Daphnia pulex: one gene and its partner. Each later gene encodes a partner of the first gene's protein in a complex. Links are inferred from orthologs where the notes say so. Each region holds a gene or a part of one and is shown in the gene's direction. Other genes may lie near its edges.

The links.
Region 2: transcription initiation protein SPT3 homolog (region 1) and SAGA-associated factor 29-like share a complex: the UniProt entries of both Drosophila melanogaster proteins name them as parts of the spt-Ada-Gcn5 acetyltransferase (SAGA) complex. The link is inferred for Daphnia pulex from reciprocal best matches to the Drosophila melanogaster genes Spt3 and Sgf29.

Annotation. Positions count from the first base shown.
Region 1 is NC_060027.1:750,298-753,907, reverse strand, and holds transcription initiation protein SPT3 homolog, read left to right. Parts: upstream 1-1,490; 5' UTR 1,491-1,654; coding exon 1,655-1,709; intron 1,710-1,774; coding exon 1,775-1,952; intron 1,953-2,020; coding exon 2,021-2,327; intron 2,328-2,389; coding exon 2,390-2,647; intron 2,648-2,686; exon of another isoform or gene 2,687-2,716; coding exon 2,717-2,863; 3' UTR 2,864-2,864; coding exon of another isoform or gene 2,865-2,984; 3' UTR 2,985-3,045; downstream 3,046-3,610. Other genes in the region: HEAT repeat-containing protein 6-like, read right to left, coding at 1-209, 270-354, 419-655, 726-974, 1,030-1,215; DALR anticodon-binding domain-containing protein 3-like, read right to left, coding at 2,865-2,984, 3,046-3,341, 3,411-3,577. UniProt on the Drosophila melanogaster protein: Component of the transcription regulatory complex SAGA, a multiprotein complex that activates transcription by remodeling chromatin and mediating histone acetylation and deubiquitination. The SAGA complex predominantly acetylates histone H3.
Region 2 is NC_060019.1:9,072,312-9,075,956, forward strand, and holds SAGA-associated factor 29-like, read left to right. Parts: upstream 1-1,511; 5' UTR 1,512-1,631; intron 1,632-1,690; 5' UTR 1,691-1,788; coding exon 1,789-1,827; intron 1,828-1,889; coding exon 1,890-2,024; intron 2,025-2,084; coding exon 2,085-2,207; intron 2,208-2,270; coding exon 2,271-2,429; intron 2,430-2,495; coding exon 2,496-2,724; intron 2,725-2,805; coding exon 2,806-2,984; 3' UTR 2,985-3,012; downstream 3,013-3,645. Other genes in the region: uncharacterized protein LOC124191408, read right to left, coding at 3,086-3,226, 3,284-3,382, 3,574-3,645. UniProt on the Drosophila melanogaster protein: Component of both the SAGA and CHAT histone acetyltransferase complexes, which both predominantly acetylate histone H3.

The DNA of each region.
Region 1 (3,610 bases):
GAAATGGACTTCAATGTCAACTTCCTCGATGTTGCTATCTCGATTCTTGGATTGAACTTTGCTGGGAGGACGTTTCTTTCTCACCTTCGGATTCTTCGTCTGATCTGACTTGGAAGAAAGTTCCACAAATGGAAGGGATGATGGACGAATTGGAGCGTACTTTAGTGGCTGACCAGCGATTCCAAAAAGCATGTAGTATCGTGCTAGACCTTAGATAAAGAATATATATCATATCCAAATAAGCAGGTCTCCGAAATGTGCAGCCTTACTAAAGATACTTTCCAAATGAGCCACTGTTGAAGCAGTAAATCTAACAAATGTATTCTCTAATCCATAGAAACAAAGACTAAGAACCTAGTAAAATAAATGAATGTGGTTAAGAAATTTCTTCATGACATTATAAGAAACACTGTTTTACCTTGAGAAGGTTAAGATTGTTTGGATCGGAATTTAGGTGTTGCTCTTGGAATTTTATGAACTGGATGATACATGTGTTAATTACATCCTTTGATATTGTAGACCAATCCTTTTCTCCCGAACAGTTGGTAAAATTGCAGAGAATTTTCAGAATGAGAACTGTTTGATTATTGATTTGTTGTTCTTCATTCAATTTATTGATCAAGAATCCAGAAGGACTAAGCACTTTCTCCAAAGCCTAATTTAGTAATTTCAATGGGAAACATTATTGTTCAAAATTTTTCATTCATTCCCAGTTTCAGACCTACTTTAGTTTGTTTAACTTCTTTGAAGTTGACTGCCACAGCAAGACAATTGAAAATGTCAGTAAATATTAAATGATTTTCATTCTTAAGGGATTTTATAATCCAATCAATTAATTGCTCTGATGCTTGACTTGTTAAGTGTACATTTGGAAGTTGTAAAACTTGTTCCCATATTTGACAAGTCTTGGCAACTTTAAAAGATTCTTCATGTTTCACAATTTTTAAAACATCTGATACTAAAATTACAGAATCCTATAAACATAAGATTTTAAACAGTGAAATGAATATAACTTTTATGGAATCTTACTTGAACATTGACTGACGACGATTCCAATTCTTTCCTTTTAAGATCGAAGAAAAGGGTGTTCAGATTATCCAAGAAATTTGTTATTTCTTCCGGATTTGCATTTTTCTTATCTAACAATAGGTTGAGCTTTTCTCGAACCCCTGTCAGATAATTTGTGTCTAATGATTTAAGTTGAGAAAGAGCCATGACTCTATCTCGATTGTCACACTTTGTTTACAAATTGAAGGTCCTTGATTTTTTCGACATTTTCGTCTGCTATGTGTCGACGAAGTACCGAAGGCATCCGCTTGGTTTTTTTTTTTCTTAATTGAAAAATGTTTAAGATTAATGAAAGCGTGGTTCATTCAAAAGTTCATAAAAAATAAAGATTTTTTTTTCCTTACTAAATTTTGGGAAAAAAATTGAAATAGTTTCAAAATTAGCTTTGGCATTGAGGCAAATTCAAATATGTCTAGCTAGGCTAGCAGACTACCACACAATACCTTCTTTTAGGGTTCAGTTCAGACTTCAAACAATAACAAATGGAGTTTTAGAAAACACCGGTTGATATTACTATTTGGTACACGAATTATACCAACACAACTGATATTTTGTAAAAATTAGCAAAATTCTCAATCTCCTAAAAATGCCAGCTGCTGATGTATCCACTAATTCTTCCACCGATGGATGGTACATCTTGGGTAAGTTCATATTAACGACCAACAATGTCAACATTTCCTAACTACATTTAATTCGACATGTTTAGAAATCCAAAAAATGATGTATGGATTTGGCGACAGCAAATATTCGCTGAAAGAAACTGCTGAATTAGTAGAGAAAATTGTGAAGGAACAACTAATTCAGTTCCTGAATGCACTGTCTGAGGTTGCTGTTAAAATTAACTCAAAGAAAATTGGTATCAAAGAATTTCTAGTCTTACTTAGGTAGGTAACCTTCAGTTTAACAATATCTCAAGTTATTCAATATATTGAAGTGATTTCTGTTAAATTAGGCACAGTCCAGTTAAACTGAGAAGATTTTGCACCTATTTACAAGCCAGTGGGTTTAAGGATTTGGCAAAAGAAGATGATTTGCCTAAAGACATAATGACTGAATTTTCTGATCTTCACACTGGAAATAAAAAACTGAATTCTGCTCTTGCATTCCTACAACACCTTGATCCATCATGTTATCTGTGTAATGTGGCAGATCCATCTAAACCTTTCCTGTTACCTGATGATGCCCTCAAGGAACGAAATGAAAGGATTGAGAGAATGACATTAGCCATGGAGAAGGGGCAGTACATTGAATATTCTCAAGTATTTTGATTCAACCTAACTGCTTTTTCAAAATCTAGATTTAACAGAATTGTTTTTGTCAGGCCAAATCTACCTCATTTAAGAGAGGCCAGCCTTCTGGTAAATTTCAAGATTGGTTACTTAAAGATTCTCCAGCTCCTGAGGTTGCTTTAAGTGCGACAGCTTGGTCTATTCTCAGTTACTTTGCTTACGAAACCATCGCACAAATAGTAGATCTGGCCTTCATAGTACGAAGAGACAATATGGCTGGGCAAGTGAGTGACGCAGTTCAACGTAACACTGCACCAAGAGTATCTCCAGCGAATGCTGATTTGTTCAAGGTAAAAGGATTAAAATGAATGTTACAATAATTATAATCATTCTTTAAAACAAAATTTCCGTATTTTTAGCCGACATGGTCAAATTCGATGAAACCTCTTCAAACAGCGGAAGTCTCTGAGGCCATCAGACGGTTCAACAATACACACAACTCAATTTTTTCTCCATTCCGAAGAAATGGTGTTCCTCCTCCTGGACATCGACTTCTGGCACTGTAATTTAAACGTACTGCAAGGGCTTCAAATTCAATATGGCGAAAGCTGCGTCGTAAATTGTTAATATCACTTTCAACATCCAAATTCGTGCGTGCATTGTTGGATGCGATCGGTTGTGTTCATCCTAAAAATAGGAAACTTTAATGTAAAATTGTATGCAAGAAACCTGAATAAAGAATACTCACACATAGGGTGCGAACTGAACTGTAGTAATGGGAATAATCCTGCGATAAAAATAGCAAAAATCGCCATAACTCTGAAGTTATCTTTGCGATGCGAGTGAGTGAAAATTTGTTCAGCATAGGAACAAATCCAGCAATATATTTGGAGGTGATTTCAATTTCTGCTTTATGCTTCAGCAACTTAAAATTGGTCGTATCCAAACTTGGCAGTGGAGGGTAAAGTGAGCAATCCACTCCATCAGAAAATTTTTGAAGTATACAGGCAACCCTACTTCTGTTGTACAAAACCTTTATTGCTTCTAAAATAGAAATGAAAAATTCAATAATTAGTTATTAAAAAGGAACCATGATTTTGGTAAACTGAATACCTCTGAATTGAGGATCAATTTCTAGTCCAGCTAGTCCTACCGCATGCATTGGTTTTGTGGTGTCATTGTGCAAGAAATCATAACTGATAACAGCCTCTGTGATCCATGCTTCAGACATACTTTTACCTTCCGTTGGATGCCTGGATTTAACATGCAACTGTCGTAGCCTTCAAACACAAAAAACACCTACATAGTTAGTA
Region 2 (3,645 bases), on another chromosome or scaffold:
AAGGCAGCCGATAAAACATGTCCGACAGCCACCAGGCAACATCAACTATTTTGCACAACCATTCAACACTGCAAGAACATCAACATTACGTAAATATCACATTGAAATATGATGTTGAAGTGAATGTCTGCACAAGCTCCATTTGCGAAAATTCCATTTTGACAAGCTCCATTGCGAAAACGCGCCCTCAAGACATCTCGACTGGAAAATGACTGCAAAACCACTGCTCACACCATGAACGCTGCATCAACACCATTGGCAGCTCCAACATCAAACTAACCAAGAAATCCTGTAAATCAAGTTCAAAGGAAAACAATGAACCAATTACATTTTCAAATACAAGAAAGGGTTAATTTCTGTTTTATATTTAAAAAATACAATTCTATTGAGCAAATCTTTTCACAAAAGCTCTTAATTAGAAACATATAGTTGTTGTAAAATGTCATCTAAATCGAGAATTCAATGTCTGACCTGATTCCTGACAAAAATCACATGTGTAGCACACACTTTTAAAGTAGACTAAAATATAGGCAAATTCTAACCCACTCGAGTGTTCTAACAAGTTAAGTGCATGTCTGTGAAAGCTCTTGGCATAATTCAACTGGAAATTGAAACAATTTGCAAAACAAAACGTAATGAAGCTCAGGCTTTACTGCTCAACAGTTAATAGAAAAATTTAAATTACTTTTTGAAACAAAGTCACACAATTTTAATTCAGAAACAAAGTCTTGAATTAAAAAGTTAAGCAATAATTACTTTTTACTGTTCTGCATGGAACGAAACGTGCAACATTCAGCAAGAGACGACATTGTGGGAATGTACAGCAGGCCACATGCGATTACCAATTATGAATTGAAGACAATGTTACACGTTTTGAACCACACACAAAATTAAATTTTATAAAATTAAAGAATAAAAAATGGAATTACCATGTCTATGATCAACAATGTCACGTAAGAAAGTACCAGCAATGACTAAATTTTACCTTCTCGGACAGCGTCTCGACAGCAAAAGAAAGACTGTTCTGTCAGTCGTCTCAGGACTTTGACAGTTTGATGACCCATCCCCCTACACCCCTCTAGAAACAAACACACTAGAGCTGAATAGTTCAATCCCTAAACACGCTGAAATATTTAGCCACCTAGTGACAGCCCTGAGCATCCACGGACGACTAGAATGGGACGGAAAATAAACGAAATATTCGTCATCTCCGTGAAATACATTTAGTAGATAAAAAAAATTATCGAAAAATTAACAGGTGAGCTTTCTTGGTGGAATAGTTATCGTCAGTCATCACCAAAAAGTTACCACACAATGCCGATACATTTTTACAGGGATGTGCAAAATATTAAAATAACTGACTACAAAATAACTAAATAATTTGAGAGTTGAAAATGATCAAAGGCTATATAATAAAACCACTCGAAAAAAAGGCCTGATTTAGAAATTATTGCCATGGTTATACAATTTGAGCATGCTCATGCCATCTGCTAATGACGAATGGAACTAATACAGTTGATGCCATAGTTGCCATGGTGACGACAAAGCAACTGCCGATGTTACGATTTTCAATTTATTGTTTGGAAGGCTGATTTCCGATGACTGTTTTTAAACTCATCTTCATTAATTTAGTAAGGTTATTTTTCTGTGCATAAAAGATATGTAAATTTCAGAATTTAATTTTCTTTAGTTCTTGGTTTTCTTGGTGGCTTTTGCTTGGATTCCAGTCATCATTGCTGGTTTGAGCTCATCATTTAGGAGAGGTAGTTGTTATTAAACATATACATCATGGCTTTGTCATTAGATTCTGCCACACAGCAAGTCCAAGTAAGGTTGATATAATCAGTTGTTAAGGTATTTACTTAGTTCTAATTTGGATTGGGGTGCAGGAACGATTGAAGGGGATCTACAAGTTGGTCAAGCAGATTCAAGAAGAGAAAGTTCGTAATGAAGGTAACTTAAATGCTGTTATCAAAGCTCATGAAAAACTTCAGTCAGATGACAAAATTTCTCCATATCACAAGGTATTTCTATTCCCATATCACTAATTAATCAGCACTAATGAATGCCTATAAAATTATCAGTCTAAATTAAAAGGACTGTATTGCTCTGTGGTGGCTGATGCTGAAAAAGAAGAGGACCTTATTCGTAAGGCATTAAGCAAAATCTATGAAATTCGCGTTATCAGACATGAAAGGAGAATTCAGGTTATTCCCAAGAACGTAAACTTAGAAAATTTCACCTAACATTGTACTAACATTCTTGTTCAGGCAAAACAAGCTGGCAGTAAGGAAACTATAAGAAGAGGTGCTCTCATGAAAATGCTTCTCGTTACTGCTCAAACTCTCCCGCTGTGGATCAGTAAGTCAGGACAACAGCCACCAGCATTATGTGGAGCAGTTCCAGCTGACCCAACTTACGTTGCCAAAGTATTACATTATTCGAATGTCATAAACTGTTAATTGACTAACCGAAACACCTTATATGTATGTCAGCTGGGAGATATTGTTGCGGCTTTGGTAAAGAGTACAGACGGCGATGAGAATTGGATTTTGGCAGAAGTCGTTCAATATTTAGCTTCTTCTGGGCGCTATGAAGTGGATGATATTGACGAGGAACAGAAAGAGCGACACACTTTAAGCAAACGCAGAGTAATTCCTCTTCCTTTGATGCGAGCTAATCCTGAAACCGATCCCGATGCTTTGTTCTCAAAAGGAGCCACTGGTAAAAACAAAACAAAAAAATCGCAAATTTTAGCTGATCCGACGTTAGCATATTATTAACATACTAAACATTTGTTTTTAGTCATGGCTTTGTATCCACAAACGACCTGTTTTTACAAAGCGGTAATCAATCAATTACCCCAAACAGCTCAAGATGAATACCAAGTTCTTTTTGAAGATTCTAGCTATACTGAAGGATTCAGTCCGCCTTTGATGGTGGCGCAACGATATGTCATAGCTATCAAAGAGAAAAAGAAATGATTTCAAATACATTTGACCCTTTTTTCTATTCTCTCTTCTGTACAGCAGGATTTGTGTTTTTCACTACTTCTTCCAACCACGTATGAAACATGAAATAGAATCTAAATGGGGGAGTTTTTGAATCCGTAGTCGGCGTAGTCAGAAGGCTTCATTTTATCGGAAACTTTAGGGAAGTTCGGATCTCCTGGGTAAACTGCGGGTCTGGAGCCGAAAATTGCAAATCCTTTCTTGCGAGTCCAGTCCTAAAAGTTAAAATGTAGTATTTTGGGTGCTGTCCACTATTAGAGGCAAATACTTACATGAGAGTTGTACTTCAGATTGTAGGTAATTCCCAAAACCAGCCATCCAGCAAGAAGATATTTACCAACCCAATAGCGAGTAATCTGAGTTTTGTCGCCCTATGAATAAGAAAAAGAATTAGAACACAGATTTTATGAATTATGTAGTAGTCTCACAACCACAAAATGGACAGTTAATTAATTTTTAAAAGTAAAGTGTTTTAGTTCACATTACATCTGCTCGAACTAAATCGGGGAAATGTTACCCATAACAAAAGTTTTAAGTTCTGTTAATACTTATTATTACTTACCAATCTAGATTGAAGTTTAGAGAAGACAAAATCAAGGGGAAAACGATATGCTCGACGGATTGGATTCATTTC